Linked DNA regions of Oryctolagus cuniculus. The protein of the gene in region 1 binds, or shares a complex with, the protein of each later gene. Links are inferred from orthologs where the notes say so. Each region holds a gene or a part of one and is shown in the gene's direction. Other genes may lie near its edges. The genes, in order: AMFR and UBE2G2.

Region 1 (3,900 bases):
GTGGAGCACTTCCTGGGAAATTATTATCCTTCCCAAATAGAGCTTTCCTTTATTTATTTTGCCAGTAAAGTTTAGCATGTTAGTGAAATGTCTGTGGATGGAAAGCCAAACTGAGTCCAGGCTATGTGTGAAAAAGCTTCGCCAGCAAAGGTGTAAACTCCTTGCACCCCTGTAGAGCCAGACTTGTTTCATGGAGACCTGGAACAAGGTGTTTGAAAAATTCCAAAGTGGGTGGGAACCTTGAGAATGTTTTTCCTAATGAACAGACTTTTAGAATACATGCAAGAAAAAGACCATAAAGCATAATTCAGTCCTCTAGAGAGTTCCTTAGATTTGACAGATATTTAACAGCATCCACTCTGGGCTGGGCACTACTTAAGGTAGTTTTTTCCTTTATACATTTGGAGGGGTAGTAAGCAGCTATAAAGACATATAAGTCACATATTAAGATGTAATTCACTGTTCAAGGTGTATACTGATTTTTAGTCTATTCAGAGTTGGCTTGCCATCATAATTTTAAAACATTACACCCCTTCAAAAAGAAATCATTACCCTTTGGCTATCAGCCTCCTATCAGGAAGCAACTATTAGCCTACTTTTGTGTCTATGCATTTTCCTATTCTGGACATTGCTATCAATGGAATCACAGTATTTGGACTTCAGTGTCACTGCTCTGATTTCGAATGCTTTCAAGATTTGTGCATATTGTAGCCTATATCAATTTTCATTTTCATCTTTGAATAATATTCCACTGTGTTGATTTCTCACATTTATCCATTCATTGTTTGATGGAGATTCCGGGTTCCCACATTTGGGTTACCGGGAGTATGGTGCTGTTATTTGTATGAGTTTTGTATGGATACAAGGTTTTCATTTCTCGGAATTGCTAGGTCAAATGGCCACTCTGATTTTTAACTTTGAGGAAGCGAGGAGACTTTTTTTCCAAAGTAGTTGCACCATGTCAGTATTCTCACTTGCACATTTTTATTTCCTGCCGAATCAGGTTGTTTCTAGAGTCTACTAGTAAACACTTAAGACTGTTTAACATTCCTTCTTTTGGGGGGATCTTTTACACCCCAAACACCACCTCCCTATTTGGACACCAGTTAAACTGCTAGGCCCACAGTGGTGCTCAGGGCTAACTACAGGGCAAGTGGCCGGTCCGCGGGCACTGTGGCCTGGCCAGGACTGCACGCCACTAGCGGCGGGCCTGAGCCTTGCCGGGGCTCCGGCTGGAGCAGATTCCCTCTGCGTCTGCCGGCCCGGCCCAGCGGGGCTGTCGGTGCAGGACGCGGGGAGCCAGTCCCCAGGGCCTGAAGCCCGGGCCTACCCCCACGAGGCGGCGGCGCGAGCGCTGGAGGCAGGGGGTGGGGGGACGAAGGCCGCGCCCCCGCGCCCGGCCCGCCCGCGTCCCGCTGGGGGCGGCGGCCCGCCCCGAGCCCGCCGAGGCTCTTCCGCGCCGGCAGGGGCAGCAGCGGGAGCGGCGCTGGGCGGAGCGGCGCCAGCAGCCAGGAGCGGCCCGGCCCGGCCCGGCGGTGGCAGCGGCAGCAGCGACGCCAGAGCCCGTGGGCGCCGTTTGTGAGGCTGCCACAGGCGCCTGGCCACAGCGCGGGGAGGCCTGGGGTCCGGAGGCCGCCGCTGCCGCCATGCCGCTGCTCTTCCTCGAGCGCTTCCCCTGGCCCAGCCTCCGCACCTACACGGGCCTCAGCGGCCTGGCCCTGCTCGGCACCATCGTCAGCGCCTACCGCGCCCTCAGCCAGCCCGAGGCCGGGCCCGGCGAGCAGGAGCCGCTAACGGCCTCGCTGCAGCCCAAGGCGCCCGCGCCCGCGGGGCCTGGCCCCGAGGGACCCCGGGCCCGCGACGTGGCCCAGTACCTGCTTTCGGACAGCCTCTTCGTGTGGGTAAGCGACGCTGCCCGGGCCCGCGGGGCAGGAGCGGCCTGGGGGTGGGGGTGGGGGCCGCCATGTCACCCATTATTCGTGGGGGGCGTGACGGCGCTTAGGGGTCCCCTGACTCCCGCGCCGCCGTGTGCGGGCCCGGGGGGTGGGTGGGGGGCGGGGCCGGGCGGCGGGGGGCTCCCTGGAAGGAGAAGGGTGAGGTTTGAGGGTTGGCCCGCGGGTGTGGAGGTGATGGGCTCCCCGGGGCAAGGCCGAGTTTGGGGGTTCGAGGAAGGGGGCTGGGGAGGCGGAGGGGCGGTGCTGAGAAGCATGGCTGGCCCGGGGAGGAGGACGGGGGGCCGAGGGCTGAGGTGCCGGCGTCCGGAAGGGGTGGAAGGAAACGCCGACTGGTAGGGTCGGGGTTTCTGAGGGGCCCTGAGGGGTACCCGGAGGCCTAGAAGGGCAGGTTCAAGGGGAGCCGGAGCCGGGCGCGCGGCTCCCCGCCCGCGTGCTGGGCGGTGCGGGGAAGTTGAAGCGCCGTTCCCTCCTCGCGTGGCGGTGCTCGAGCGGGAGGGCAGGGACGGGGAAGGGGGACGCCGAGCGCAGGGCGTGTTTGTGCATTCCCGTCGGGAGAGAGGCGCTCCTCAAAACTTTTTGTGCCTTTAGTGTTTTGCTTGTCCTCTTTGGGCGCTGTTTGATGTAACAAACCTCAGACAAACGGTGCTTCCTGTCCTGCTGCTCGTACCTGACGATTCGTGACGGTTTCCTTTGATGTCCGAAGGCAGCAAACATTCAGAGTGAAGAGGCACGCCGCTCATTCTCACTCAGAAGTTCTCTTTTTGGGGGCTCCATTTTAAAGCAAGGTTTCCAGTTCGTCTGCCCCTGCAAGATAAGCAGCATTTCAAGGTGTCCATGCTGGTTTCGGTTACGAGAACGATGACTTCAGACTGCTAGAGCAACAGTTCTGTTGTTTTGGCTAAAGAATTTTGCTTTCGCCTTGGTCTTGAATACCTCTTCTTGTAAACCCCACAGTAAGGAGGAAAGTTGCTCCAGGATTTAGTCTGTCGCTTGGATTTAGTATGGTGTCTTGAGTCTTGTTTGCCTCTGCAGATCTCTCATTTGGGGGAAAGAGTAGGCTGGAAACGAGGGAGAGATTAATATTCCAAGTTTGTAGAGTGATATGCAACTCATTGGTTCTAATTATTCCCACTGTGCTTCATCAGGAAGCAGTGGGATTTGTGAACTCTGGGGGCTGTGAATTAAGCAGAGTTTAATAGAAGGCAGTGAAGGGTGAAGTTCTGGGTGAAGCTCAGTCATACCGACCATAGAGGGAGAAGAGAACTCACATCTCTTAATTTCGAGCCTGGTTTTGCATTTGAGTTAGCAGGTAAACAGCTAAGCGATGTGAAGAGTGCTTTTGCCAGCTGTTAAGATTATGATGTAGTCTTTGATATATTTTTTCATTCTACGATATAAGTAAGCCTTTGAGAAGGAACCACCATTGTATTTAAACAACTGCAAGTATTGTTTAATGACTTTTCCCCCCAGAAGTTTCTTCTTACCATACCAGGGTTCAACTTTCAAGGTTAATATCTCTTCATAAAACATTACAGAAAGCCTTTTGCTTTTTCTGTGGAAATTATTTTTCCTAGAGGTATTAATTTATGCAGATTTGCCACTTTTTCCTCCCTCTGGGTAGTATTTCCAGTTCTCAGTGGATCCTCATTCTGATTTTCTCCCATCTTTCCTGTGGGATTTTCCTGTGTCCTTGTGTGCCTCCTTGCCTTCTCAACCCTTCACGTGTGCACTAGGAGTGCTCTCCATCGCTCATTGCCTGTCCCTGTGCAGCTGAGTGGAAGGTAGGGTCTCAGAAGCCTTCCCCATTGTTACCCAACAGATACCAGTATTGAGGAAACGTGGGCGGCTTTTGTCAGCAAGGATGCTCCTGGGCCCTGCTCATAGGCATTCAGATGAAATTTTTCTAAAACACAGCCAAGGCCAAGGAAGACAAAACAAAACCTGA
Region 2 (3,719 bases), on another chromosome or scaffold:
GGGAGGGTCTGCATCTCGATCCTGCACGCGCCAGGGGACGACCCCATGGGCTACGAGAGCAGCGCCGAGAGGTGGAGCCCAGTGCAGAGCGTGGAGAAGATTCTGCTGTCCGTGGTGAGCATGCTGGCAGGTGAGTGCCGGGGCCGGGCCCCGCGGCCGGGCGTGGGAGCGGAGGTGCTGCTGGGGCCGTCGTGCCCCGCAGTCTCTCCTCCCTCGTGTGGCCGTGTCCAGTCCACGCTTCCTCGCTGCCCGTCCTATAGTGCTGTTTGCCTGCACACATTTCAGGGCAGTTGGGTACCGCCATCGTATCATTGACCGTCGTTAGCCAGACGTCCGCATACTCGGGGGGGTTTCTTGGGCCCTACTCTTGGTGCCAGGCACTGTGCTCCGTGTGCAGCTCCGGGTGACAGAAACCCCGACTTTAAAGGGAGCTTTCTGAGGGTAGACCGGAGACCAGGACACACACAGGCTGTCAGGCCAGTTCCTGAGAGGGGGCGGCTGGGCTGAGTCTGGGGCATGTTAGCACAGTAGGAGGGCGGGAGAGGCATTTGGGCCAGAGGAAGCCACCAGGCAGGGGCCCAGGGGCAGGAGGCAGCTGACTCAGTGGGGCACTGCCAGCTCACTGCGCTGAGCCAGGGCTGGGAAGCGGGGCGCGGTGGGAAGTGGGGCGGGCAGTACGCCGCAGGGGCAGTGCTGCAGCTGGTGCCGGGGGTGGCAGTGGAGGAGAGGCAGAGATGTGCTAGGTGGGGTCCAGGGACCCGGGGCGGCAGAAGGCTGCAGTGTGGGCCCCAGGCCACAGGGCACAGTCCGAGGCCTGGCTGACTTCTCTTTCTCCCGTGAAGGCCAGGGCCCGCCCACTGAGGGGCTCATCCAGGACCACTGGGTGAAGGGGACTCTGGGTAGGGCGGCAGGTGATGGCACAGCCCAGAGAGGTCACGTAGAGGGACAGGGGGCGAGGAGGAGCCTCCAGAGGTCGGGGAGACACAGAATTGCCGCCAGGGTGCCGGGGGCCTGAGGCAGCTGTGGTGGGCCGTGCGCCCTCTGCAGGAGCTGTGAGAGAAGTGACCACTGCAGAGCCCCTCAGAACGGAGACCGCGGTGTGGGTGGTGCAGCCACTGGCCCCACGCAGTCCCCTGGGAGGCTGTGTGTGCCTGTGGCTGTGTCGGGGTGTTTGCAGAGCACGATGGAAGATGGCTGGTCGTTGGCCTCTCGACACCCACGACAGTTCTCTCGCGAGGGCAGCTGCTGCCCCACGCCGTGTGCTGCGGTTGGTGGTGCCCAGCCGCTGGTGTGGAGAGCTGCGTCCCTCTCCCGGCCCGCAGGCTCAGTGCCTCCTGCTGGTTTTGGGGACCTCTCTCGCGAGGCCTCTCAGCGTTCTTAAAGGGAACGGAAGCGCTTTGCCGAGTGGCTTGCCTTCTTTTTTTTTTTTTTTTTTTTTAGTTATTATTAAATGACTTCTTATTTAAAAGACAGAATGACAGAAAGGGAGAGACGGCTTCCATCCACTGGTTCTCTCCGCCAGTGCTGCACAGCTAGGCCTGGGCCAGGCCAAGCCAGGAGCTCCATCCGAGTCTCCCAGTGGGTGGCAGGGCCCAAGCACTCGGAGCGCCCTCCGCTGCTCCCAGGTGCGTGAGCGGGAGCCGGGTGAGGCACAGAGCGGCGGGCGTGCGCCCTGGCCCGCCCCGCGCCTGGGTTGCTCGCGTCTGGAGTGGCGGCCCCGCCCCGCCTCGCCCCCGCTGAGTGCTGCTGTCCTTTCAGAGCCCAACGACGAGAGTGGAGCGAACGTGGACGCTTCCAAGATGTGGCGTGACGACCGGGAGCAGTTCTACAAGATCGCCAGGCAGATCGTGCGCAAGTCCCTGGGGCTGTGAGGCCAGGCCTCCGACGCGGAGTGACAGTGACACTGTGCTGGCACCGAAACAGGCCCCTGAGCAGAGCCGCGGTGTCTCACTTTCTCACCTTCCCCTGCCCGGCAGGCCTCTGCCACGGCGGCTTAGCACCTCGACGGCCACGTCACTACCTCTCCCCGAGGCCCCGCAGCTCCGCCGCCTCCCCTCCTGGAGCTCCGGGGTCGCGCTGGCCAGCCTTCCGGGACAGGGACACCGGCCATGCCCTGCCCGCCACGGGCCGGGCCGCTCCCCGAGCCCCCGGGCATCGGTCACCTTCCCGCTGCATCCCCCTCACGTCTGGGTACAGCGTGTGCACGTGATCACGGAGCGTCACACGTAGAAATGCCTTCTGAAGGCCTGTGGCCTGCGGGTCCCGGCGGCTGTGGAGGCCTCAGCGCCCCAGCACCCCGGCAGGGGCGGGGACACGGGAAGGCTGCATCGACAGCGTCCTGGCCCTCCGGGCGCCCCCTCCCTTCAGCAGAGAAGCAGACCCTCGCCCCAGCGGTCGTAGCTCGGAGCACAGAGCTGTGCCTTACCCCCGCCCTGGCCAGCGCGCGTGGAGCAGGCACACGAGCCTGGGCCCGGCAGAGCCCGCGCCGCTCACGGCCGGACGTGATGGCTGCGGGGCCTGGTGCCGGGAGGCGGCGTTACAAGCAATAACACATCTGTCACGTGCAGAGTCCACACAGGTTACATTTAAATAGGAACCTATTTTTGACGTAAGGGACGGTCTGTGAGACACAGTCGGCTTTTCCTCACGCTGCCCTCCATCCGCCCTGCCCTCCCTGACGCCGTGCGCGGAGCCGCTCCCTGACGCCGTGCGTGGCGGCCGTGGAAACCAGCTCCTGCCTTTCCTCCACGGGAGGGGTCGTGTAAAATCCGAGATGGGAGCGCATTGTATGTGCGCCTCCCGGCGGGGACGCGGTAACAGGAGCGGGCCGCGGGCCGGCATGGGGGGGCGGCACACAGGCCCGCAGGCTGCCTAGGCGGGAGAGAGACAGTCTACAAAAAGTATTTTTATTCATTTGTATTTATTAAGTGCCCCCAGCCCCTGCCTCTGTTCTGTGTGGAATTTAATTACTGTGTTGCAAATAAAGTTACCCATTTCCCCCGATCTGCAACTCCCTCTTTGTTGTGTTTTTCGTGTGCTGGGAAGCCTAAGCCCAGAGGCCCCGGCGGCGGCAGGGCCTCTCCCGGCCTGGAGCAGTGCTGGGCCGTGTTCTCCCTCCCTCCCTCCCTCCGGGACTGGATGTGACCTCGGATGCAGAGGGCGGGGAGCCCTGCTGGTGGCAGCGCAGCCCAGGGCGGGGGAGAAGCGCCCGTTCAGCCGGAAACCTGAAGTGGGAATCCAGGAAACCTGAAGTGAGAATCCAGGAAACCTGAAGTGAGAATCCAGGAAACCTGAAGTGGGAATCCAGGAAACCTGAAGTGGGAATCCAGGAAACCTGAAGTGGGAATCCAGGAAACCTGAAGTAGAATCCAGGAAACCTGAAGTGGGAATCCAGGAAACCTGAAGTGAGAATCCAGGAAACCTGAAGTGAGAATCCAGGAAACCTGAAGTGGGAATCCAGGAAACCTGAAGTGAGAATCCAGGAAACCTGAAGTGGGAATCCAGGAAACCTGAAGTGAGAATCCAGGAAACCTGAAGTGAGAATCCAGGAAACCTGAAGTGGGAATCCAGGAAACCTGAAGTGAGAATCCAGGAAACCTGAAGTGGGAATCCAGGAAACCTGAAGTGAGAATCCAGGAAACCTGAAGTGGGAATCCAGGAAACCTGAAGTAGAATCCGGCGTTTGGTGTCGTGAGGGGCACGCTGGGGCCCCTCCTGCT

Evidence for each region.
Region 2: the proteins of AMFR (region 1) and UBE2G2 are in contact, whole or in part, in an NMR structure (PDB 2LXP), measured with the Homo sapiens proteins. The link is inferred for Oryctolagus cuniculus from reciprocal best matches to the Homo sapiens genes AMFR and UBE2G2. Residues at the interface, in NP_001135.3 of Homo sapiens: Ser574, Ala575, Arg578, Gln579, Met581, Leu582, Arg585, Lys586, Leu589, Leu590, Ala593, Arg594, Arg596, Phe597, Leu598, Lys600; in NP_003334.2 of Homo sapiens: Tyr13, Leu16, Thr17, Pro20, Gly23, Ile24, Val25, Ala26, Gly27, Pro28, Met29, Asn30, Glu31, Glu38, Leu40, Met42, Glu45, Glu50, Phe51, Val53, Val159, Gln160, Leu163, Gly164, Leu165.

What each region holds. Positions count from the first base shown.
Region 1 is NC_091449.1:40,179,202-40,183,101, reverse strand, and holds the start of AMFR (E3 ubiquitin-protein ligase AMFR), read left to right. Parts: upstream 1-1,435; 5' UTR 1,436-1,646; coding exon 1,647-1,901; intron 1,902-3,900. UniProt on the Homo sapiens protein: E3 ubiquitin-protein ligase that mediates the polyubiquitination of lysine and cysteine residues on target proteins, such as CD3D, CYP3A4, CFTR, INSIG1, SOAT2/ACAT2 and APOB for proteasomal degradation.
Region 2 is NC_091435.1:1,796,799-1,800,517, forward strand, and holds the end of UBE2G2 (ubiquitin-conjugating enzyme E2 G2), read left to right. Parts: coding exon 1-130; intron 131-1,758; coding exon 1,759-1,871; 3' UTR 1,872-3,003; downstream 3,004-3,719. UniProt on the Homo sapiens protein: Accepts ubiquitin from the E1 complex and catalyzes its covalent attachment to other proteins. In vitro catalyzes 'Lys-48'-linked polyubiquitination. Involved in endoplasmic reticulum-associated degradation (ERAD).